Linked DNA regions of Elephas maximus indicus. The protein of the gene in region 1 purifies or fractionates together with the protein of each later gene. This does not show direct contact. Links are inferred from orthologs where the notes say so. Each region holds a gene or a part of one and is shown on either strand. Other genes may lie near its edges.

Region 1 (7,972 bases):
GCTGACCTCGCCTGTATTGTGTGTTGTTTTTCTTGTCATCTAAAGTAGTTCTTATCTACTATCTAGTTAGTGAATACTCCTCTCCCACCCTTCATCCCTCCCCCCTCTCGTAACCATCAAAGAATATTTTCTTCTCTGTTTAAACTATTTCTTGAGTTCTTATAATAGTGGTCTTATACAATATTTGTCCTTTTGCAACTGACTAATTTCACTCAGCATAATGCCTTCCAGATTCCTCCATGTTATGAAATGTTTCACAGATTCATCACTGTTCTTTATCAATGCATAGTATAGGGTCGCTATGAGTTGGAATCGACTCGGTGGCAGTGGGTTTTGGTAGTATTACATTGTATGAATATACCATAATTTATTTATCCATTCATCCGTTGATGGGCACCTTGGTTGCTTCAATCTTTTCACTATTGTAAACAGTGCTGCAATGAATATGGGTGTGCACATATGAGTTTGTGTAGAGGCTCTTATTTCTCTAGGATATATTCCAAGGAGTGGGATTGCTGGATCCTATGGTAGTTCTATTTCTAACTTTTTAAGGAAGCACCAAATCGATTTCCAAAGTGGTTGTACCATTTTACATTCCACCAGCGCTATATAAGTGTTCCAATCTCTCCACAGCCTCTCCAACATTTATTGTTTTGTGTTTTTTGGATTAATGCCAGCCGTGTTGGAGTGAGATGGAATCTCATTGTGGTTTTGATTTGCATTTCTCTAATGGCTGGCTAATGATCGTGAGCATTTCCTCATGTATCTGTTAGCTCATTTTAACCATTTTTAAGTGTATAATTCAGTGACATTACATTTACCATGTTGTGAAACCATCACCATTGTCCATTTCCAAAGTTTTTGATCACCCCACAGAGAAACTCATTAACCACTTAAGCAATAAATCCCCATTTCTCTCTCTCCTCCCCCCCCCCACCCCTTGTAACCACTCATAAACTTTTCTCTTTATGCCTTTTCTTACTCTAGATATTTCGTATAACTAGGATCATACAATATTTGTCCCTTTGTGGCTGGCTTATTTCAGTCAGCTTGTTTTCAAGGCTCAACCATGTCGTAGCATGTGTCAGAACTTCATTTCTCTTTATGGCTGGATAATATTCCAATGTATGTATATACCACATTTTGTTTATCCATTCATCTGTTGACGGACACTTGGGCTGTTTCCACCTTTTGGCTCTTGTGAATAATGCTGCCATGAACATTGGTGTGCAGGCATCTATTTGGGTCTCTGCTTTCACGTCTTTTGGGAATGTATGTAGGAGCAGAATTGCTGAGTCATATGTTAAACTTTTTGAGGAACCACCAAATTGTTTTCCACAGTGGCTATAAGAGGGCTCCAGAGGAATTGAATTTTTTTTTTTAAGTAATTTTTATTGTGCTTTAAGTGAAAGTTTAGAAATCCAGTCAGTCTCTCACACAAAAACCCATATACTTGCTACACACTCCCAATTACTCTCCCCCTAATGAGACAGCCCACTCTCTCCCTCCATTCTCTTTTCATGTCCATTTTGCCGGCTTCTAATCCCCTCCACCCTCTCATCTCCCCTCCAGGCAGGAGACTGAATTTTTAATTTGATTTAAGTTCCAAGTAACTATATGTGGCTGGTGGCTACCATATTGAACAGTGCAGGTCTAGGTTCTAGATAATATCAGTAATGTGTGACTTGTCCTGTTACATGAAGAAAGGGAAGCATCTGAATAGCTGAGAATGAAGAAAAACATTACAGGACAAGAAAATACATGAACGAGCTGTGCTCAATTCACATTGAAAGTGTGAATGTGTTTTGATGCATGCATGTAAAAGTGCTAGTGTTTGGATGGGAACGGTGATGTGTTGCTACACTAGGCAGATCATGCAGCCCAGCTGAGAGGATTTGAAGCTGTAGGTAATGGGGAGCTACTGAACAGAATAATCAGTAGCTCTTTCCACGTGCCAGACATTACATCGAGTGCCTTACATGCATTATCTCATTTAATTATTGTAACAACCCTTTGACAGGAAAAAAAAATTCATTTGGTGGTACTGTAGGGGTAAGAGACCAAAGGCAGGTAAAAGAGAAGCAATTTTAATAGCCTTGGAAACATGTAAACGGTACTAATGAAGACAAGACATGATGAATACAAGAGTGAGATAATCTGGATCTTTAGGGATATAGATGAAGACAAAGGGAACACCAATGATTCTAGGATGAACGAAGGCATTAGATGAAGCAGAGGGATCTTGAGAATGATCTAGATCGATGGCAATGGAACCAGTTTAGTGGAGTCAAGAAATCTGATGGAGAAAAGCTTTTCAAGAATCCTATCAGCAAGTTAGAGATGAGGATGGAGAAGTGGCAGAGGAACCCAGAAGAGACAGTAATGGTGACAAAAATTGAGCATCAGTGGCAGGAAAGTTGGTTTTGGAAGGAAAATTATGGATTCTGTTTTTGACATGTTGATTGGAGGTGACCATGAATCCTCTAGATAATGACTTGCTGGTTGAGGGCAGCATGACGCTAGAGGTTTTGAAGCATTATCAGGGCTGGTGAGGTTATCCACAGAAGTAACTGTCCAACTGGCAATTGTGACGTGTTCTCTGAGGACAGATGGTAAAGGGAGAAAGTTGAGGAAAGAACCTTAGGTGAATGTCCACTCAAGCAGAGGGTGCTAGAGCTAGATTTTTTCTTTTAACCTTTTCAGTGAAGCAGGAATCAGGGTCACCTGCCAAGAAAGAGGGGTGAAACGAAAGTGGGGCATGGGGGGGAGAAGAAAGATCTGTAATGCGACACTTGAGGCTGTCCTTGAGAATCACCAAGAAATGAATGAAAGAACTGGGGACTAGATCAACATGATTCCATGACTTTGCGTAGCCATCTACGATTTATTCTCAAGAACTGACAATAATATAGGGTCACTCTGAGTCGGAATAGACTTGACAGCAACGGGGTTTTTTTGGATTGTATAACTGTTATGAGCATTTACACATATTATCTCACTTAATCTCCCTAATAATCTAGTTAAGTAGTTATTATTTCCAAATTATAAAAAACTAAGGCTCAAAAAAGTTATCACCTTAATTAAAAAAATAGACGCACACATAAAAAAAATTTTTTTTTTTTTTATAGCTGTATACAAATAATTGCCAACCATGTTGTTCTAGGCACAGAAAAAGGAAGGCAGGCAAGTTGCTCATCATCATGGAGCTTTTATTGATGTAATGACAGAGAACTAAAAAAATACATGAATCAGGCAATTTCAGGTTTTGATAAGTGATGCGAAGAAAACAAAACTGGTTATATAACAGATACGACACCGTGTCATGGATTGAATTATGCCCCCCCCCAAAATATGTGTGTTAACTTGGTTAGGCCATGATTCCCAATAATGTGTAGTTGTCCTCCACTTTGTGATTGTAATTTCAAGTTAAGTTAAAGAGGATTAGGGTGGGATTGTAACACCCTTACCAGCTCACATCCCTGGGGTGTGGTCTACATCGCCTTTCATCTCTCAAGAGCTAAAAAGGGACGCCAGCAGAAAGGGGGCACCTCATACCATCTAGAAAGCAGAACACATTCTTTAGACCCCATGTCCCTGTGCCAAGAAGCTCCTAGTCTGCGGGAAGATTGATGAGAAGGCCGACAGAGAAAGCCTGCCTCTGGAGCTGACGCCCTGAGTTTGCACTTTTAGCCTACTTTACTGTGAAAAAATAAATTTCTGTTTGTTAAAGCCATCCACTTGTGGTATTTCTCTTATAGCAGCACTAGATGACTAAAACAGACGGCAGCTGGGGAGGGAGTGAGGGAAGGCAGAGGCCGTTAGCTTGGTCTGGGAGGCCCCTCCGAGGGACAATGAGTGGGGAACTTTAGGATAATAAAGGCAGGAGAGAGTTTTCCAGAAGGAAATGACCAAGCGCAGTGGCCCTAAGGCAGGAACCAGCCAGGCTGGTAGGACCGACACCAAGGTTAGTGCAGCTTAAGCGTGGAAAGCAAGGGGGTATGGAGACGCCGCGAAAAGCCTGAGCAAGGGTTTACGCAAGGGGAGTAACCCGGTCCTGTTCGACGAAATAAAGCCTCTCAGAAGCCGCGTCCTGGTCGTGCGGCTCTGCGATGCGTGTTCCTTCCATTCGCGAAGCTGCCCGGCTCACGGCACATGGAGAAGAGACGGGTCACGAGAGGCTGCAGGCCGAGGGGCCAAGGGCCAAAACCCGCGGGAGCGGGCAATGTGCCGCGTCGGCTGTATCAAGCGTCTACGCAGCACCGACGGTCGCGGCGTCCTCGTCAGGCCATTCCCGGCCGGCAAGCGGCTACCCTCGGTCGTCGCCAGCGCCCCCCTCGCCTTTCGTTTCCGTTACCGACCCCCTCCTCTGGCACCCGCCGCCCCCGAACGGCCTGTCTTGGCCTTTCCTCAGGGGCAGCTGGACTGCCTTCCACAACTTGGGAATGACGATGTTCCTTCCCTTAGGAATGACAGAAAGATGAAATAAATTGTGGTTAGTGTGAAGCCCTGTGGAAAATAACTCTTCTTGCTTTTGTCTTGTTTTCCCTCATGCTTTCCAGAAAAGATTTCTCTCTCGGTACGTTCTCCAAGTTACCCCCTCCAACAGCGAGACCATTGGTTTGGCCTCTCAATCCCGATTGGCTGAAGTTTCAGGCTCTGGCCAGGGACTGGAGGACGTTTGTTTCCTACGTATTCCCTGCCCCCATTGCTTTGCCTTCCTGTTTCTGGGGCCTGTGGCTACGGGTAGTTCCCACCCCCTTGTTTACGGAGCGCGTAGTTGTTGGCTGCGAGCGCTGGGGCTGTCTCCAAAGTTCCCTATTCGGCTCCTCGGACCAATTGGATCTTCGCTCCACCCTCGCCCTCTCCCTTCCACGCCTCCCGCGTGGTACGGCCCACACCTCTAGCGGCGGCGCGTGCGGACGCCCGTAGCGTCTTTCCGCCCGCGCTCGCCGGCCTGCTCCCCTGTGAGAGTGCTCTTGGTACGGCCCGCGCCGCTTCGTTTCCTCGCTGGGGTGGCTGCCCCCCCTCGGACGGCGGCGCTTGGTGCCGCCCGGGAGAACCAGGTCATCGGTCGGTTCCCGTGAAAACAAAAACAATCGGCGGCGCGGCCGCGGGCACCCGAACGCGGCGAGCGGGGTCCTGGGACGCGGGCTCGGGGAGGGGCGAGCGGGAGCGGCGGCGACGCGCGGGGGGCCGGAGCGCCATGGGCCAGGCGGACACAGGCTGCACGGGGCTCCCCCGGCGCCGCGGCTAGCGCTCCCGTCGCTTCGGCCGCCTCAGCCGCCCGCGCCGCACGCCTGGGGGACGAGGAGGAGGACGCGGCCTCGGCCGGGCCCGGGCCGAACGGCTGCGGGGCCCCGGGCACCGAGGAGCCGAGCGCCGCCACCGCTGCCTCCGGCATGGATCAGTGCGTGACGGTGGAGCGCGAGCTGGAGAAGGTGCTACACAAGTTCTCGGGCTACGGGCAGCTGTGCGAGCGCGGCCTGGAGGAGCTCATCGACTACACCGGCGGCCTCAAGCACGAGATCCTGCAGAGCCACGGTAGGCGGCCCGGTGGGCGCGCGGCTGGGCCAGCCCTCACCCACCCGGCCCGCCCCAGGCCGTGGGGGGCCCAAAGCCGTCCGGCGCCCGCCGCCCCTGAGGCGCGGAGAGCCCCAGGCCCCCGGGACCTTGCCTTCTCATCTCACCCGGCTTACCTCCAGCCTGCCGGGAGATCGCTGTTAATCGGGAATCCGCCCGGAAAGCCGACTGGGAGCCGCGGGCTCCAGCGGGTTAAACGTGCGTGGGGGGGCTCGTCCGTGGCATCTGCAAACTGCCGCCCCCCGGGATGGGCGCCCCTCGCTCCCGCCCGGCCCTGGGGCGCCCACATTGTCCCCGCGGCGCGGTCCAGAGGGTGGGAAGTGCGTCTAGGTGGTAAGAGGGTCAGCGCAGGAAGCCCGTTCCTCCACCCCACCCCAGACCCTTAGCCGGTGAACTTTGTTTCGTTGTCTTTTTTACTAGAAAGTCGAGTGTTATCCTTAGCTGGAGGTTAACTGAACAGTTGCTTCAGCAACTTTATAATTTGACTGCTGTGTGGAAGCAGCTCTTGTTGAACTCTGAAGCACCACTGACCTGGTTCCTAGGAAACCGGCTGAATCAAACTGTTAAGCTCTCCCAGGGTAGTCTGTGATGAGACTGATAAGGAGCAGGCAAAACCCAGAAAACTCTCCTGAATCAAATTGTGGCTTAAGTTCCTAGTTATTCGCCCTATCTAGTCAAGTTTTTACTTGTTTACCATTCAGAAAACAGATTTCCTATAGAAGTCGTTTTACCCGGGTTAGTTCGTTATTGTCCTAGGCCCTGGGGACAGATACTTTGCCAGTTAACTTGCGGAAGCTGTTTGGAAAAGCCCCCCCCCCGCGCCATTTTCTTTAAATAACGTGAAAGATCTGGTGTCTTTACTTTAAAAGACAGGTAGTCACCAATTTAGGATGTGTTTGAGTTAGGACCTAGAACCAACTGATCTCAGATGTTTCTGTGTTGTTTTGTATTTTGCATCTAATGGTTACTAATGTGAATTACATACAGTGCTGGAGCTTATAATTTGCTGTCATACCCACATGTTCACTGGCATGCGTTCAAAGGTAGGATTTAAAAAGAGTGATAATAAAAGGCAATAATGATGAAAACAAAAGATAAGCGACTTATATCCGAACCTACCTACGACAGAGTCGTGGGAATGGAACCGTCTTTAGCGGCACTACTCACCTGGAATCAGAGTGATGATTTTGGTTGTGAAGTAAAGGACTTTTCATTTAGTGGGTTTATTTAAGAGTTTGGGTTTGGGAGGCTACTCAACTTGTGGGCGAAACAAATTTATGTAAAGGAAGGTTTGGTTAGCTGGGGAGAGATGTGATACTGTGACAGTTGAGATGAGGGTGGTGCCATTAGCCAAGATTCCCTTTCCTCCTTCTATACCTTCCCTTCCCAGGACTGCCTTTTAGTTGAGAGCAAGTGCTACTCAGTGGTAAGGGAGTCTTATGATGACAACATCTCATTTTGGACACAGCAGTCAATTTTCAAGTCCAGGGAAGAAGCAAACCTGCAACATTAGTGGGAGGTGGAATGAGAAAGGAAGGGAGTTGAAATGTTACTGTGGAAGAACCAGCAGACCTGGTGGCTGCCTGTGAAGGGAAGTTTGATTGACTTATTGGATGATGATATAGTTGGTAGAGATGGGGAAACAAAGTTGAAGTGGTGTGAATCCTGGGAATGCTGTGGTGATTTCGGTTTTGGATATGTAAGATCTGAAGGGCATAATGAAGATAGAGAGAAATCTTAAAATTTTCTATTGGCTGGAGATGCATAGATGGAGTTTGAGAGAAAAGTAATGTCTAAAACTGTTTTATGATGTCATTTCTACAGAAGAGAGGAGGAGATCATTTAGACCGCAGGGAGAAAAGACCGTAGGGTCTACTCACAACCCTGAACTCCCCTTGGAGAGTGGAAGGCAAAAGAGGAGCCAGCAGAAACCGAAAGGGCAGGGGCTTAGAAAAGGAGTGGTTGGTCAATGGCTCTTTGGTTATCGGGAGTCAGTAACCATCTATGCTTAACAGTTTTCACTAGAGTTGTTAAAACAAGCCTGATGACTAGGTGTGACGGTTAAGATTGTGTGTCAACTTGGTTGGGCCATGATTCTCAGTGGTTTGGCAGTTACGTAATGATGTAGTTTGGCAGTTATATAATGATGTCGTTATTCTCCCTGATCTGATGTGATGTGATCATCCCATTAGCTGTAAGGGGAATTTCCTTGCAGGTGTGGCCTGCATCTAGTATATATATGAAAGTTCTGGCAAAGCCTACTTGCTTGCTCTGGATCCTGCCTCCGGCTCATCATTAACTGACCTCCAGTTCTTGGGACTCGAGCCAGCTGCCTGCAGTATTGCCTGCCAATCTTGGGATTCGTCAGCCATTGCCCAGCCTGTGAGCCATT
Region 2 (7,839 bases), on another chromosome or scaffold:
TGGGCTGTGTTGCCTCCATGTCTGACAAATAGAAGCTGAGGCCCGGAATGTTAAGGGCCTTCTCTGAAATTCCAAAGCTAGAAATGTACTTATCCAACATTTTTGTTCTAATTCATATTCTCTGTGGTCTTCCTGGCCAATGGACCTTGTTGTTGTATTCTTTTTGAGGCTGCACCCGGGTTTAGGCAGGAGCTACCCATGTGGCCATGGGAGACACCTGGGCTGCTTAGAGTCAGCCCCCATTGGACATGAGTCTTCCAGTGAGTGAAGAGGCAGTTTATTCCCATGGCTAAGAGTTCAGGTTCTAGAGTTTGACAGAGCTAAGTTCAAATCCTATTTCCATCACTCATCTCTCCAGGCTTCTATTTCTCCATTTGTAAAAATGGTGATGTTACTACCTCATAGGGTTATTGTGAGAGTTAAATGTGGTATATAAAGTCCTAGTTGTTTTTGTTAGGTGCTGTCAGGTCGGTTCCGACTCATAGTGACCCTATGCACTACAGAACGAAACACTGCCTGGTCCTGTGCCATCCTCACAAATGTTGCTATGCTTGAGCCCATTGTTGCAGCCACTGTGTAAATCCATCTCCTTGAGGGTCTTCCTCTTTTTCATTGACCCTCTACTTTACCAAGCATGACGTTCTTCAGGGACTCATTCCTCCTGATAACATGTCCAAAGTATGTGAGACATAATCTCGCCATCCTTACTTCTAAGGAGCATTCTGGTTGTACTTCTTTCGAGACAGATTTGTTCATTCTTTTGGCATTCAGTGGTGCCAAATGGTATATTCAAAATTCTTTGCCAACACTGCAATTCAAAGTCATCAATTCTCATTCAGTCTTACTTATTCATTGTCCAGCTTTTACATGCACATGAGGTGATTAAAAACACCATGCCTTGGGTCAGGTACACCTTAGTCCTCAAGGTGACATCTTTGCTTTTCAACACTTTAGAGGTCTTTTGCAGCAGGTTTGCCCAGTGTGATGCATCTTTTGATTTCTTGACTGCTGCTTCCATGGGTGTTGATTGTGGATCCAAGTAAAATTAATCCTTGACAACCTCAATCTTTTCTCTGCTTATCATGATGTTGCTTATTAGTCCAGTTGTGAGGATTTTTTGCTTTGTTTATGTTGAGGTGTAATCTTTGATCTTCATCAGTAAGTGCTTCAAGTCCTCTTCACTTTCAGCAAGCAAGGTTGTGTCATCTGCATAATGGAAGTTATTAATGAGTCTTCCTCCAATCCTGATACCCCGTTCTTCTTCATATAGTCTGGCTTCTCAGATTATTTGCTCCACATACAGACTGAATAGGTATGGTGAAAGGATACAACCCTGACTCACATCCTTCCTGACTTTAAACCACGCAGTATCTTCTTGTTCTGTTGGAGCGATTTCTTCTTGATCCATGTAGAGATTCCTCATGAGCACAATAAAGTGTTCCAGAATTCCCGTTCTCCACAATGTTATCCATAATTTGTTATAATCCACACAGTCAAATGCCTTTGCATACTCAATAAAACACAGGTAAACATCTTTCTACTATTCTCTGCTTTCAGCCAGGATCCATCTGACATCAGCAATGATATCTCTGGTTCCACGTCCTCTTCTGAATCTGGCTTGAATTTCCAGCAGTTTCCTGTTGATATACTGCTGCGGCTGCTTTTGAATGATCTTCAGCAAAATTTTGCTTGCACATGGTATTAATGATATTGTTCGATATTTCTGCATTTGGTTGGATCACCTTTTCTGGGAATAAACATAAATATGGATCTCTTCCAGTCGGTTGGCCAGGTAGCCGTCTTCCAAATTTCTTGGATAGATGAGTGAGCACTTCCAGCGCTGCATCTGTTTGTTGAAACATCTCAATTGGTATTGTCAATTCCTGGAGCCTTGTTTTTGCCAGCACCTTCAGTGCAGCTTGGACTTTTCTTCAGTATCATCAGTTCCTGATCATATGTTGCCTCCTGAAATGGTTGAACATCAACCAATTCTTTTTGGTATAGTGATTCTGTGTATTCCTTCCATCTTCTTTTGATGCTTCCTGCATCAATTTAATATTTTCCCTGTAGAATCCTTCAGTATTGCAACTTGAGGCTTGAATTTTTTTTTATTTTTATAATTTTTATTGTGGTTTAAGTGAAAGTTTACAAGTCAAGTCAGTCTCTCACACAAAAACTTATATACACCTTGCTACATACTCCCAATTACTCTCCCCCTAATGAGACAGCCTGCTCTCTCCCTCTACTCTCTCTTTTCAAGTCCATTTCGCCAGCTTCTAACCCCCTGTACCCTCTCATCTTCCCTCCAGGCAGGAGACGCCAACATAGTCTCAAGTGTCCACCTGATCCAAGAAGCTCACTCCTCACCAGCATCCCTCTCTAACCCATTGTCCAGTCCAATCCATGTCTGAAGAGTTGGCTTTGGGAATGGTTCCTGTCCTGGGCCAACAGAGGGTCTGGGGGCCATGACCACTGGGGTCCTTCTAGTCTCAGTCAGACTATTAAGTCTGGTCTTAGGAGAATTTGGGGGTCTGCATCCCACTGCTCTCCTGCTCCCTCAGGGGTTCTCTGTTGTGTTCCCTGTCAGGGCAGTCATCGGTTGCAGCCGGGCACCATCTAGTTCTCCTGGTCTCAGGATAATGTAGTCTCTGGTTCATGTGGCCCTTTCTGTCTCTTGGGGTCGTAATCACCTTATGTCCTTGGTGTTCTTCATTCTCCTTTGATCCAGGTGGGTTGAGACCAATTGATGCATCTTAGATGGCTGCTTGCTAGCATTTAAGACCCCAGACGCCACTCTTCAAAGTGGGATGCAGAATGTTTTCTGAGTAGATTTTATTATGCCAATTGACTTAGATGTCCCCTGAAACCATGGTCCCCAAACCCCTGCCCCTGCTACACTGGCCTTCGAAGCATTCAGTTTATTTGGGAAACTTCTTTGCTTTTGGTTTAGTCCAGTTGTGCTGACCTCCCCTGTATTGTGTGTTGTCTTTCCCTTCACCTAGAGTAGTTAACTACTATCTAATTAGTGAGTACCCCTCTCCCACCCGGCCTCCCTCCCCCTTCTTGTAACCACAAAAAATGTTTTCTTCTCAGTTTAAACTATTTCTCAAGTTCTTATAATAGTGGTCTTATACAATATTTGTGCTTTTGCAACTGACTAATTTCAGCATAATGAGGCTTGAATTTTTTAAATAATTTTTATTGTGCTTTAAGTGAAAGTTTACAAGTCACTCCCTCACACAAAAACCCGTATACACCTTGCTACACACTCCCAATTATGCTCCCCCCCAAAAAAAAAATTTTTTTTTTTTTATTGAGACAGCCCGCTTTTTTGCTCCACTCTCTTTTCGTGTCCATTTCGCCAGCTTCTAACCCCCTCCACCCTCTCATCTTCCCTCCAGGCAGGAGGTGACAACATAGTCTCAAGTGTCCACCTGGTCCAAAAAGCTCACTCCTCACTAGCATCCCTCTTCAACCCATTGTCTAGTCCAATCCATGTCTGAAGAGTTGGCTTTGGAAATGGTTCTTGTCCTGGGTGAGGCTCGAATTTTTTTATTCAGTTCTTTCAGCTTGAGAAATGCTGAGCGTGTTCTTCCCTTTTGGTTTCCTATCTCCAGGTCTTTGCCTGTGTCATCATAACACGTTACTCTGTCTTCTTGGGCCGCCCCTTGAAATCTTCTGTTCAGCTCTTGTACATCATCATTTTTTTTTTTGCTTTAGCTGCTCGACATTCAAGAGCAAGTTTCAGAGTCTCTTCTGACATCGATTTAGGTCTTTTCTTTCTCTCATGTCTTTTTAATGACCTCTTGCTTTCTTCATGTATAATATCCTTGATGTTATTTCACAACTCGTTGGTGTTCGGTCATTAGTATTCAATGTGTCAAATCTATTCATGAGATGGTCTCTAAAATTTAGGCGTGATATACTCAAGGTCGTACTTAGCACATAATATATGTTCGATACACTTAGCACATAATCTATACTTAATACAAAATGACTGTTACACTAATGATAAACTTCCCCTGCCCTTGGTGTTCTTCATTCATGTAACGTCCTCATTGGGCTGACAAGTCAGCCCGGATTCTGTTTCTCCACCACTGCTCCTGTGGGGCTGGAGCCCCAGGCCACTGGACAGAGGCGAGCAGGAGGTGCAAAGGTCGGGACTAGATGCCGCCTCCCTCTCCAGAAGTACTCAAGTTCTCTTCTCCACTGTCGGCCCAGAAGGCGCCTACCTTGGGAGGGGCGTAAAGCTGCAGCACTGCGACTGCGAGGAGGCCATGACGCCTTGGGCGGTCGAGCAGCCAGCCTCCATGGCCTACCGTAGTGTACAACCCGTCGCCATGGCGACTGCCGCAGCGGCCCGGCTTGGGGGCGGAGTCAGGATTGCGCTCACCACGGCCTCGAGCCCGGCGTCCGCGGCCTGGGAGGAAGGCCAAATAGCAAAAGTGAACTCGGGATCGGGAGCTGGTCCCCTCAAGAGTTAGTCACTGCAGCGGATTTGACCCTAGGTACCAGAACAACTGAGGCAGTGGGATCACCGGCGACCATGGTGGAGGGAGGTGAACCGAGAGGCTGGAGCCCCTTTGGTGGCGGGAATTGTAGTTTTCGGTGTTCCGAAGACTCGGTTGGACAGACTTACGGCTGAGCAGGTTTACACTACATCTCCCAAAGTTCCATAGCAGCTCGACTTGGGCCGTTCCTGACAAGATCTGCATTTTGGGATATGAAGTCCAAAATGTGGCAAGGCGTGGCCATGTCCAAAGAGAGGTGCTGGACTCGGACTCAGTTTCCCTGCGGCCCCGGCAGACTCGTTGGCTATTGGCTGGGCGGGGCGGATCTGGTCCCGCTCCTCCCCGCCCCAGTGACACAATAGCAGCTCCCTCCAAGATGGCGGCGGCGACGGCGGACCAGGGAGCTGGGAATCCGCAGGCTGGAGACACCTCCGGCGGGGGTGCGGGGGGCGGTCTGCCGTCCCCGGGGGAGCAGGAGCTGAGCCGGCGCCTGCAGCGCCTGTACCCCGCGGTCAACCAACACGAGACGCCGCTGCCGCGCTCCTGGAGTCCCAAGGACAAGTACAACTACATCGGCCTCTCCCAGGGCAACCTCCGCGTCCACTACAAAGGTATCGGCCACTCTGGCCACGGGAGAAAAAGCCTGGAAAGTCTTTTGGACGGTTGCGCTGTCCGGCTCCAGTCCCATCACATCCCTTCCCCGGCCTGGGTGCTCTGGGTTGGGTCTTAGTTGCGGGGGGCCCAGGGTGGTCGGGCTGACCAGGCCGAGGGTGACTGCCTGATTTTCTCTGTCCTCAAGAAACTCGAGGTCCAGAGAGCTGCAACAGGTGTCCAAACCCAGTGCTGGGCTGGACCTTCCACCCGAGGGCTTCCCTGCTTGATCAGCTCTAGCTGGGTCTTTCAACACTTCTTAGTTTCAGGAGTGCCTGAAGAAAATTATGGTCACATTTCCACCAGTAGCCAGATGCCCATGGGCTTGCTCTCCTGCCAGACATCTCAGACGGGGCCTCTCTTACCTTTAAGTGAAGATTTTCCAGGGTGGACCCCTCTTCCTGCTGGTCTCCTAGGTGGGCTGCCTGTATCCTGAAGAGACTGCCAGTAGCACTGGGAAATCTTTCACATGCACCTACACTGCTTGTACGCTCATTTTTGTTTGTATGGGAGACAGTTTCTCAGGCAGGGCTGCTATTTTCAAGAGGAGGTGAACCAAGGGTGGGAGGTTTACATGGTTGCTCAGCTGTTGTCTAATTATCCCTTGAACCTTGTGAGGGATTCCTCTGGCCATGGAAGTGTGAGCCTTTGAGCTTTTCTGAAGTTGCCGTGGATCAGTGAAGAATGAGGCTTCAATTTGCATTTCCTTCTGCTGAAATTTTTTCCTTGCCCTCTCTGCTTAGGTCATGGCAAAAATCACAAAGATGCGGCCTCAGTGCGGGCCACCCACCCCATACCTGCTGCCTGTGGCATTTATTACTTTGAGGTGAAGATTGTCAGCAAAGGAAGAGATGGGTAAGCCCCTCATTGCCACTGTCTTTTCCCCAACATTGACTTGTCAGAGATAGAGATCCCCTGGCTAACACTTGTAACTAATGTGAGCTGCTAAGCCACATTTGTGTAGCCAACTATCTGTGTAGTCATGGGTCTGGGCTGCAGATGGTTCAGTGGTGGACTGCCTCTGTTTCTTGACTGTGGCCATGGCCTGGTCTATGTAGTAGGCCTTGATAGTAAGTAGGTGGATTGGGGGTGGAGGAGGGACTTCTTTTTGGTGATGATGCAATGAGATACCTCACAGGTCAGGGAAACAGTTAACAAGTTTACATTAACAATTCAGTGACCAGAATGGGGTTTCCCAGCTAGAGTATGGTGTCTGTGACTTCCCTCCTTTTACACCCTTGCCACGTTCAAGTTTCCTTTTTATGGCATTTAGTCGTGTGGGGGCCCTAGTAGACTTCAGAGAGATAGTAGAGGCTTTGCAGCATTTATCAAAGCTGTGGCAGTCTCTGGCCTGTCATCACAGGGTAAACAGCATGCACATGGTCAAAATCAGGTGACCTTGCTGCCTATAAACTTGTTTTTCATTCCAGAAACTTGAACACCAGTTGGACCAGCTTTGGGAAGATCCTCATTAAAGTCAGTGTTAGGGAGACTCCCTATTTTAGGGTGACCTAAACAGACACAGAGGAGCCCTGGTGGTACAGTGGTTGAGTGCTCATCTTCCAACTGAATGCTTGGCGTTTCGAACCCACTAGTCACTCCACATGAGAAAGATGTGGCATTCTACTTCTGTAAAGACTCACAGCCTTGGAAACCCTATGGGGCAGTTCTACTCTGTCGTTTACGGTTGCTATGAGTTGGAATCAACTCAATAGCAACAGGTTTGGACAGGTATAGGAAATCAGAGGGAATACTAGAGGGAGATTTTTCAATTTTTCCTTTTTTTCTCCCAGTCTCTCCTTTTTCCAGTGATTGTGACAAAGCAGGTGTTTTAAGTTATGAAATAACATGATTGCAGCTGCTTTGGAAAGGCTTTCCTCATCAAGTCTTAGGTCTACTGCGAGAAGTTTGCCAACCCTACCAGTGACCTTCGTGCCGACCCTGAGTGTGTATTCTCTAGCATTCAGAATACTTCCTCTCTCCTAGGGACAGTCCCCCTTGTGGCACATGCAAAATGGCCAGCTAAAATCTGTGCCGGACGCAGGACTGCCAGAGTCAGAACCTTGTCTGCTTCCTCACAGTGACGTTGTCATTTCCCTGCCTGGGAGGTCTGTGTGGCTTTGGATAGGTCTTGGGGCTTCAGTCTCCTTGTTTGCACTGTGGGGAGCTAGGCCAGCATCTAATCTGCCTTTTAACCCCAGAATGCTGTGATTCTGAAATTCTGATAATGGGAATATATTGCATATTTCACTTTTATCTATATCTAGAACTTTTATAGATGTTGTTGTTAGGTGCCGTCCAGTTAATTTCAACTCATAGGAATCCCATGTGACAGAGTACAGCCACCCTATAGGGTTTTCTAGGTTATAATCTTTATGGGAGCAGATGGCCAGGTCTTTCTTGTAGAGCCAGTGGCTGGGTTCGAACTGCCAGCTTTTTGGTTAGCGGCTTAACAGATCACTTAACCATTGTGCCACCAGATAAAGTTTTATGTTATTGAAGGGCTTTAAAGCTCCTATTTTCCTTTCCTACCATCTGATACAAACACACATACTGTATATTTAATGTGTTTGAGCTAGTATGAATGAGAATGGTCTCTTAAAACAAACATTCCAAAAAATGGTTACTGTGTAGATTGAAATGTTGTTTGGTGCTAGAGTTCCATATTGCCAAAGAC
Region 3 (6,960 bases), on another chromosome or scaffold:
TCCCACATTTTGTGATTTGATGGATTATCCTCCATTTTGTGATGTGTTATAAATCCTAGCCTCGTAGGAATCGAATCAATGGTTTTGGTTTTTTTGGTTATACCTGTGGTTGTGGTCCCATTTGGGAGTGAGTTGTCTGTTATGCTAATAAGGCAGGATTAGGGTGGGATGTATTTTGAGTTACCACCTTACTACAGGGTGTGACTCAAGTCACCACCTTTACCCTAGTGACCACCCATATTCAAGTCACACCCTTACTTGAGTCACATCTTTATCTTACAAGAGATAAAAAGGAGAAAGAAGCAAGCAGAGAGGGGGGACCCGCTACCATCAAGAAGAGCCAGGAGTGAAGTGTGCCCTTTGGACCCAGGATCCCTGTGCTGAGAACCTCCTAGACCCAGGAGACAGAGAGCCATAAGATCAGAGATAGCGCAAGATGGTGAGAAGCGGCAACAAGTGTGGCAGAGGACCAGCAGCAGCAGAACCAGGAGACTGGCGCAAGATGGCACTGTGGGCTTCCTGGCCCGTGGAGTGAGGCAGCGTCAGTGGGTATGCTGACACAGAGCAAGAGAGCTGAGTGCCCTCAGGCAAGAGGCTTCCTGGCTAAGTGGGGTGCCTCCGGGCACTGATTGGCAGAGCTAAAGAGATCTGTAACACTTGCCAGAGCAGGGCAGAGGCTGGGCTGAGGGCCCAATGGGGCCGAGGGTTGGACAAAGAGGCCTGCCTGCAGGCACGGCTGAAAAAATCCACAAACTGTATCCTGAATCGTTTTTGATTCTGAATTACAGCCTGCTACTTCCCTAATGTAAACCCTGGTGGCGTAGTGGTTAAGTGCTACATCTGCTAACCAAAAGGTTGGCAGTTCAAGTCCGCCAGGCGCTCCTTGGAAACTCTATGGGGCAGTTATATCCTGACCTACAGGGTTGCTATGAGTCGGAATCAACTTGACGGCCATGGGTTTGGTTTTGGTTTTACTTCCCTAATAAACCCCCTAACTGTGAGTATTGTCTGTGAGTTCTGTGTGACCATTGCAAGGAATTATCAAACTCAGCACAGGAGAGAGTGCTGGGGAGGCATAGCTGGTGTCAGAACTGCTAAAAAGGTTAGAGAGAGGAGGCATGTCTGACCTCTGGCCTCAGAGGAACCAGCCTTGGGCTGTCGATGCTGATGAAGACTCTCTCCCCCTCGTGAAGTCAGAGGAGGTCAGACGCCTCTGCCACGCTGTTTTTCTTGTGCCATATTTTGGGCCTAGATTTTGACTTTTAATTCTTCGAACAGAAAAATCAAAAGGCATGAACATCCTTCTGACCTTTTAATATCACCAAATATGTGGCTTTCCAAAATGGTATTATCAGTGTTCTCTGTCACCTCTGGTTTGAGAGAATACCCGTTTCACAAGATCCTCCCCCACAAGTGAAATTACTAGTTTCTTGAGGTTGCTTGTTTGGAGAGCAAACAGTCCTTCCTATAAAAGTTTCCAAGGATATGTGAAGTTGTAAATGGTTTCCAAGTGTGCTGGCAGAAAAAAAGTACCTCTTCATAAATAGAACCTTGATGATAATTTCAAGAAACCCACTGCCATCAAGTTGATTTCATTTCTTCCACAGAGCAGCTGGTGGGTTCCAGCTGCTGACCTTTAGGTGTGCAGCTGAGGGCTTTAACCATTGTGCCACCAAGGCTCCTTTGATGAGGATTAAACTTAAAAAACTCGTTGCTGTTGAGTCAATTCCGACTCATAGTGACCCTATGGGACAGAGCAGAACTGCCCCAAAGGGTTTCCACGGAGCGCCTGGTGGATTCAAACTGCTGACGTTTTGGTCAGCAGCTATGGCTCTTCACCACTACGCCACCAGCGTTTCCTAATGAGGATTAAAATTAGAGCCCATTTATTTTACCATGGCCATTTTACATTTAAATAGAGCTTGGCTTACATTTAACTCATTGTTACTATAAAATAAATGAAAGTTTTAAAACAATTCAAATACAATGAAATCAAGTAATTTAAAGTGTAGTGGCTTGACAAAAGTCAACAAGAGGTTGGAATTATCTTTTTTTTTTTTTTTTAAATTAAAGAACAACAAGGCATCTAGTTGTCTGGATAATTGAGGGAGAAATTAAGACTGATGACTTTGCTATTAGTTCTGGCCAGAGATTGAGGGCCTTCAATTAAGTCACCATTGACCTACACTCTGGAAGACAAAATAAATAATTCTCTATTCACCAAAATGTTTCTTGCTTATTTGACCAAATGTTTACCATTACAGTATCTTTGGAAGCAAATGAAATATTGGAATTTATATCACACAATTTACATGTGCAAACCCAGATTCTACCAGCTAGGGAAAAACCAAACGGAACCCATTGGTCTGAACTGCCGGCTTTTGGTCACCTGGGTTTCCGGATAGGGAAAGGACAACCCTAAACAAAAGAAAATTGGTGAAAAAAAAAAAAACAAAAACAGTATTGCTATGATGGGTCATTGGAAACCCTGGTGGTGTAGTGATTAAGTGCTATGGCTGCTAACCAAAGGGTTGCTAGTTCAAATCCACCAGGTGCTCCTTGGAAACTCCATGGTGCAGTTCTACTCTGTCCTATAGGGTCGCTGAGTCGGAACCGACTCGACAGCAGTGGTTTTGGTTTGGGTTTTTGGTATGATGGGTCACAGAGCAACACTTAACGAGTTGTGCCAAATTAGTCGACCCAGCACCCTCTTGGAAGTGGCAAAGTAGAAGTCCTATTTTTGACTCTGCTGACCTCAGTGAAGATTTCCTTGTCTTAAAAATGGGCATACTTTTTTGCTACCTAACAAAAAGAGACCTTGAAAATTAATGAGTCTACAAAATGCTTTCACTTCTCTAGAAGCCCTTCCTAAGAACACACTGTAATCTTGTATTCATGTTCCCGCTCTTTGAAGGTATGCCAGTCTTCAATAGGATGCCTAACGGGGCATCTTCTACCAATAAAGTTCACTTTAAGTCATCCTAAAATTAATTAATGACATACTCACACTTTCTAGTGGGAGAATTTGCCTTCAGAAATGGTTTCCAGTCCCCACACGTTAAGTTAGGGTATTAGATTCTGCGAAGAGGGAGAAGGCAAAGAGGAGCGTATTACCGAGGCAAGGGCTCTAGCAGAGCCCTCTTTGGGCACCCTTAGATGCTCTGCTCGGGACCCATCTGGAGGTCGGGGGCGCAGGTCCTGGGGGACGGTTCCGAGAGCCCCGCGGCGCCCAGGGCCCGGGCTCACGGCGACCCTAGCGGGGCTCGATTACTCTCGCCTAGGAGGGAAGCTGCAGCCGCCGCTCCGGCGGTAACCCCCGGTGGAGAGGTGGGACGACGACAACAAAAAGAAGTAAAGTAGGAGGAGACTCGCCGCCGGGAGGACCCGGCAGGGGTGTCGGCGGCCCCGCGGGGGAGGGGCCCTCGAAGGGGACCCGCGGCGTCGGGGAGCCCGGCAGCCCCTCCGCGAGCTGCCGGCGGCGCCCGGGAACAGGCGCTCCGGGGCTTCGGCGCGCCTCACACACACACCTGCCCGACCGCGCAGCCCGCGCGCCAGGGACCCCCGCGGGCCCGCCCCCTCCGCCCCTCGCGCGGCTCTCGGCCTCCGTCCCCGCCCCCTCGCCTAGCACCGCCCGCGCGTAGCGTCTGGCGCCGGCCTGGCCCGCCCGCCCGCCGGGAAACAGCCGCGAGAGCAGGGGCCGCGGCTGCCGTCACCGCATTTTCTCCTCCCGCGCTCCCGCGCCGCCCTCGCCGTCTCGTCCCGGGGCCGCGCGCCCCAGCTGCGGCCAGCGTTCTCTCGGGACCTCTCCGGGCTCTCTTCCTGGCCCCCGTCCCCGAGCCCCCAACCGTCGCGCTCTCCCTCGGCGCGCGGCCCGACCGCCTGCTTCCGGGGCGGGCGGACTGGGCGCCTGGTGCCGGCGGCCGCAGCGACAGCGCCCCCGGGAAGCAGAGGAGGAAGGAGAGAAGTGGAGGTGGCCGCAGGTTGAGTCGCGGCCGGGATGTCCGGGCAGCCGCCGCCGCCGCCGCCGCCGCAGCATCAGCAACAACAGCAGCAGCTGCCGCCGCCACCCCCGGCAGCCGTGGCCCCCGTCTCCGGAGTCGTCGTGCCGGCGCCCGCGGCCGTCAGCGCCGGCTCTTCTCCTGCCAGCTCGGCCGGCGGAAGCGCGGGCGGCGGCGGCGGCTTGGGGGCCGCGGCGGCCGCCCTGCTCCTCCACCCGCCGCCGCTGCCGCCGCCCCCGGCCACCGCGGCCCCGCCGCCGCCGCCGCCGCCGCCGCCCCCGCCCCCCGCCTCGGCGGCAGCCCCTGCCAGCGCGCCCCCGGCTCCCCCAGGCCTCGCCGTGAGCTCTGGCCCGGCCGGAGGTGGCCCGGCCCCAGCCCTGGTTGCCGGCAGCAGCGCCGCGGCCCCCTTCCCGCACGGGGACTCGGCCCTCAACGAGCAGGAGAAAGAGCTGCAGCGGCGGCTGAAGCGCCTCTACCCGGCTGTGAACGAGCAGGAGACGCCGCTGCCTCGGTCCTGGAGCCCGAAGGACAAGTTTAGCTACATCGGCCTCTCTCAGAACAACCTGCGGGTGCACTACAAAGGTACTGGGCGTGTGTCCTGGGGTGGGAGTGGGGGCACTGACCCGACGTGTCCTGCCACCGCTTCCGACTCTAGGCCCGCCCCCGACTCCCTCCTTCGCTGGGCTGGGTGCCCTCCAAGGTGACTCGCCGCTCGTCTGCAGCCCCGAGGGTGGGCGCCGGGGTCACGGTGGAGGGTTCAAGGGTAAGGGGCGAGACTCTTGGGACAGGAGGGTGAGTCTGTACTGGTCCTGGTATAATGGAGCTGCTAATCCTAGGGCCTAGAGTAGAACACCTTGAGGGAATCCAGAATGAAGGGACATAACTCTCTTTCTGATTTCCCTTCGAGATAAATTTTAGGGCTGGGATGGGGGAATCCATGGGCTCGGAGCTGGGTTATATTGTTCTCCGGGTGATGGGTCAGGCGTTCTCTTAGGCTGAGGGAGACAGAGGCTCGACGGAGGTATGATTTCTAATTAAGGGAGAGCAGGGATATGTAGGGGGAGGAGTAATCAGCCGAGGATTTTGTCCAAAATTAGGCCGGAGATTGTCTAAGGGGACAAAAGGACAAGGGGCCCAAGTTTGCCGTTACTATTTTTTTTTTTATGCCTTAGTAAAAGCAACTGGGGGGATCTGAGGGGTGAAACGACAGGAGTGCGCGTGTTTTTAGGATAGGGGAAACCTAGTACCGCTCCTGACTGGAAATGTTCTGTGTTTATGTGTCGTTATTACAGTAGGTCTTATCGAACGGAACGGTTTTTTTTTTTTTAACATCTTTTAGTATTTTAAGGAGAATTGACTCATATTTTACACCTGTGATTAAAAAAAACTCTTTAGATTTGTACTTCCCCCCACCCCCACCTCCTTTACATTAAAACAAAGCTTAAGCGGAGCAGTTGTACATACATTTATAAGTTGCTGTGGCAATTTTTGAAATGTAGCCCAAATTAATAGCATGCGTCGAGTTTACTTGTCTGGGGGAAAAATATCGATCTGATGGATCAGCCTGTCTGGAAATAAATCCAGTTTTTCAGGCCCCAAACCTGGAGCAGGAGCTTTCACATTCGAAGCAGCCTCATTTTGATTGGCTGCAAAAGGAGGGTCTTAATCAGATCCTAGTGACCCGAATATAGAGGGTAAAAACAGCGTTGTGGTTAAATTCTTAAAGTGTACTGGGCTGAAATTTGAGAAGAACCCTGCTAAATAAGTTGCTGTTTAATCAGAAAGGAGAATGGCAATAGAAATCTGTCTTATGATTTGACTGCAAAGAATCACACACAAAACTAGGCTGTGGTGAATACTCCTTTTTATTCTTGCCATAGATTCAGAGAAGTACTTAAAATTCTAAGTGTTACGTTTCTTAATCTAAAGGACTGAAAACTTGAAAATATCAACTTTTTTCTTTAGTTAGGACGCTTCGTTAATACCTGTGTGAAGGCTTGCTTTTTTTTTTTTTTTTAATTTGCGTCAACAGTGCTGTTAGGAAGTGTTTACTTCTGATCTAGCTACCAGAAGGCTTTTGTTGGACTTGTCAGAACTTTATCATTTTAGATATAATGATAAAACCAGAGGCACTATGATATAGAAGAACCCTGTATCATACTGACAGGATAATCCTGAGCTCTCCTGCGTCCTGCAGTCTAGGCATGTCACAACGCAGGGTAGGCATCTGAGTGGTGAGTGGGTAGAGCTGGATGGTGGCTTAGGAAATTTCCACCTCTGACTTTCATGGTATCTAAGATTTGTGATTACAGTTTATTTAACACTGTAACGTGCCTTGATTAGTTTTACTGACTCCTTTTATACAAGATGGATGATTCAGAGCAGAGAAGAATGCATGCTTATGTGAAATTGGTTGGAGTTTGGAATATTTATGACATTGCTGTCTCAATTATTTTTCCTCTTGGTCTTTTTATTACTTTCTGTTGTGTAATGCTAAGATTCACTTTTTGTACACATCACTCTTTTATAAACGTAAACCATTTTTTTCCGGAAGCACAGATTTTGCTGTTTGTCACCCTTTTTCTTTCCCTCTCTTCTTTCCCTGCTTTGTTTCTCCCCTCCCGCGGGCATTGTTTTTACCCTCCCCTCTTTCTACTGTCTCTTCCTCTTGTCTTGCTATTTTAATGTGTGTGTGTATGTTTTGTTTTTCCTGAGCGTCTTCCTTCTGAGTGGGGCACGCCAAATGTATTGGGCAACTCTGTCCCTGTTGCAAAGGAAGGGAGCAAAGGGGAAGTGTCATAGGTAATAAAACTTCAAAGTCAAATAATAGAAGAGTGAATTTTTTTTAACCTAAAAAAAATTTTGGAAACCCTGGTGGCATAGTGGTTAAGTGCTACCGAAGCTAACCAAGAGGTCGGCAGTTGGAATCCACCAGGTGCTCCTTGGAAACTCTGAGGCAGTT

What was found.
Region 2: the proteins of RMND5A (region 1) and RANBP10 purify together in Homo sapiens (affinity purification with mass spectrometry; 4 studies listed by BioGRID and IntAct, counting the BioPlex papers as one, with this or other methods). This does not show direct contact. The link is inferred for Elephas maximus indicus from reciprocal best matches to the Homo sapiens genes RMND5A and RANBP10.
Region 3: the proteins of RMND5A (region 1) and RANBP9 purify together in Homo sapiens (affinity purification with mass spectrometry; 9 studies listed by BioGRID and IntAct, counting the BioPlex papers as one, with this or other methods). This does not show direct contact. The link is inferred for Elephas maximus indicus from reciprocal best matches to the Homo sapiens genes RMND5A and RANBP9.

The regions. Positions count from the first base shown.
Region 1 is NC_064835.1:47,823,600-47,831,571, reverse strand, and holds the start of RMND5A (E3 ubiquitin-protein transferase RMND5A), read left to right. Parts: upstream 1-4,896; 5' UTR 4,897-5,399; coding exon 5,400-5,541; intron 5,542-7,972.
Region 2 is NC_064839.1:34,248,926-34,256,764, reverse strand, and holds the start of RANBP10 (ran-binding protein 10), read left to right. Parts: upstream 1-4,781; 5' UTR 4,782-4,887; coding exon 4,888-5,122; intron 5,123-5,905; coding exon 5,906-6,017; intron 6,018-7,839. Other genes in the region: TSNAXIP1 (translin-associated factor X-interacting protein 1), read right to left, coding at 4,233-4,312. UniProt on the Homo sapiens protein: May act as an adapter protein to couple membrane receptors to intracellular signaling pathways.
Region 3 is NC_064819.1:58,133,829-58,140,788, reverse strand, and holds the start of RANBP9 (ran-binding protein 9), read left to right. Parts: upstream 1-3,902; 5' UTR 3,903-3,997; coding exon 3,998-4,580; intron 4,581-6,960. UniProt on the Homo sapiens protein: May act as scaffolding protein, and as adapter protein to couple membrane receptors to intracellular signaling pathways. Acts as a mediator of cell spreading and actin cytoskeleton rearrangement.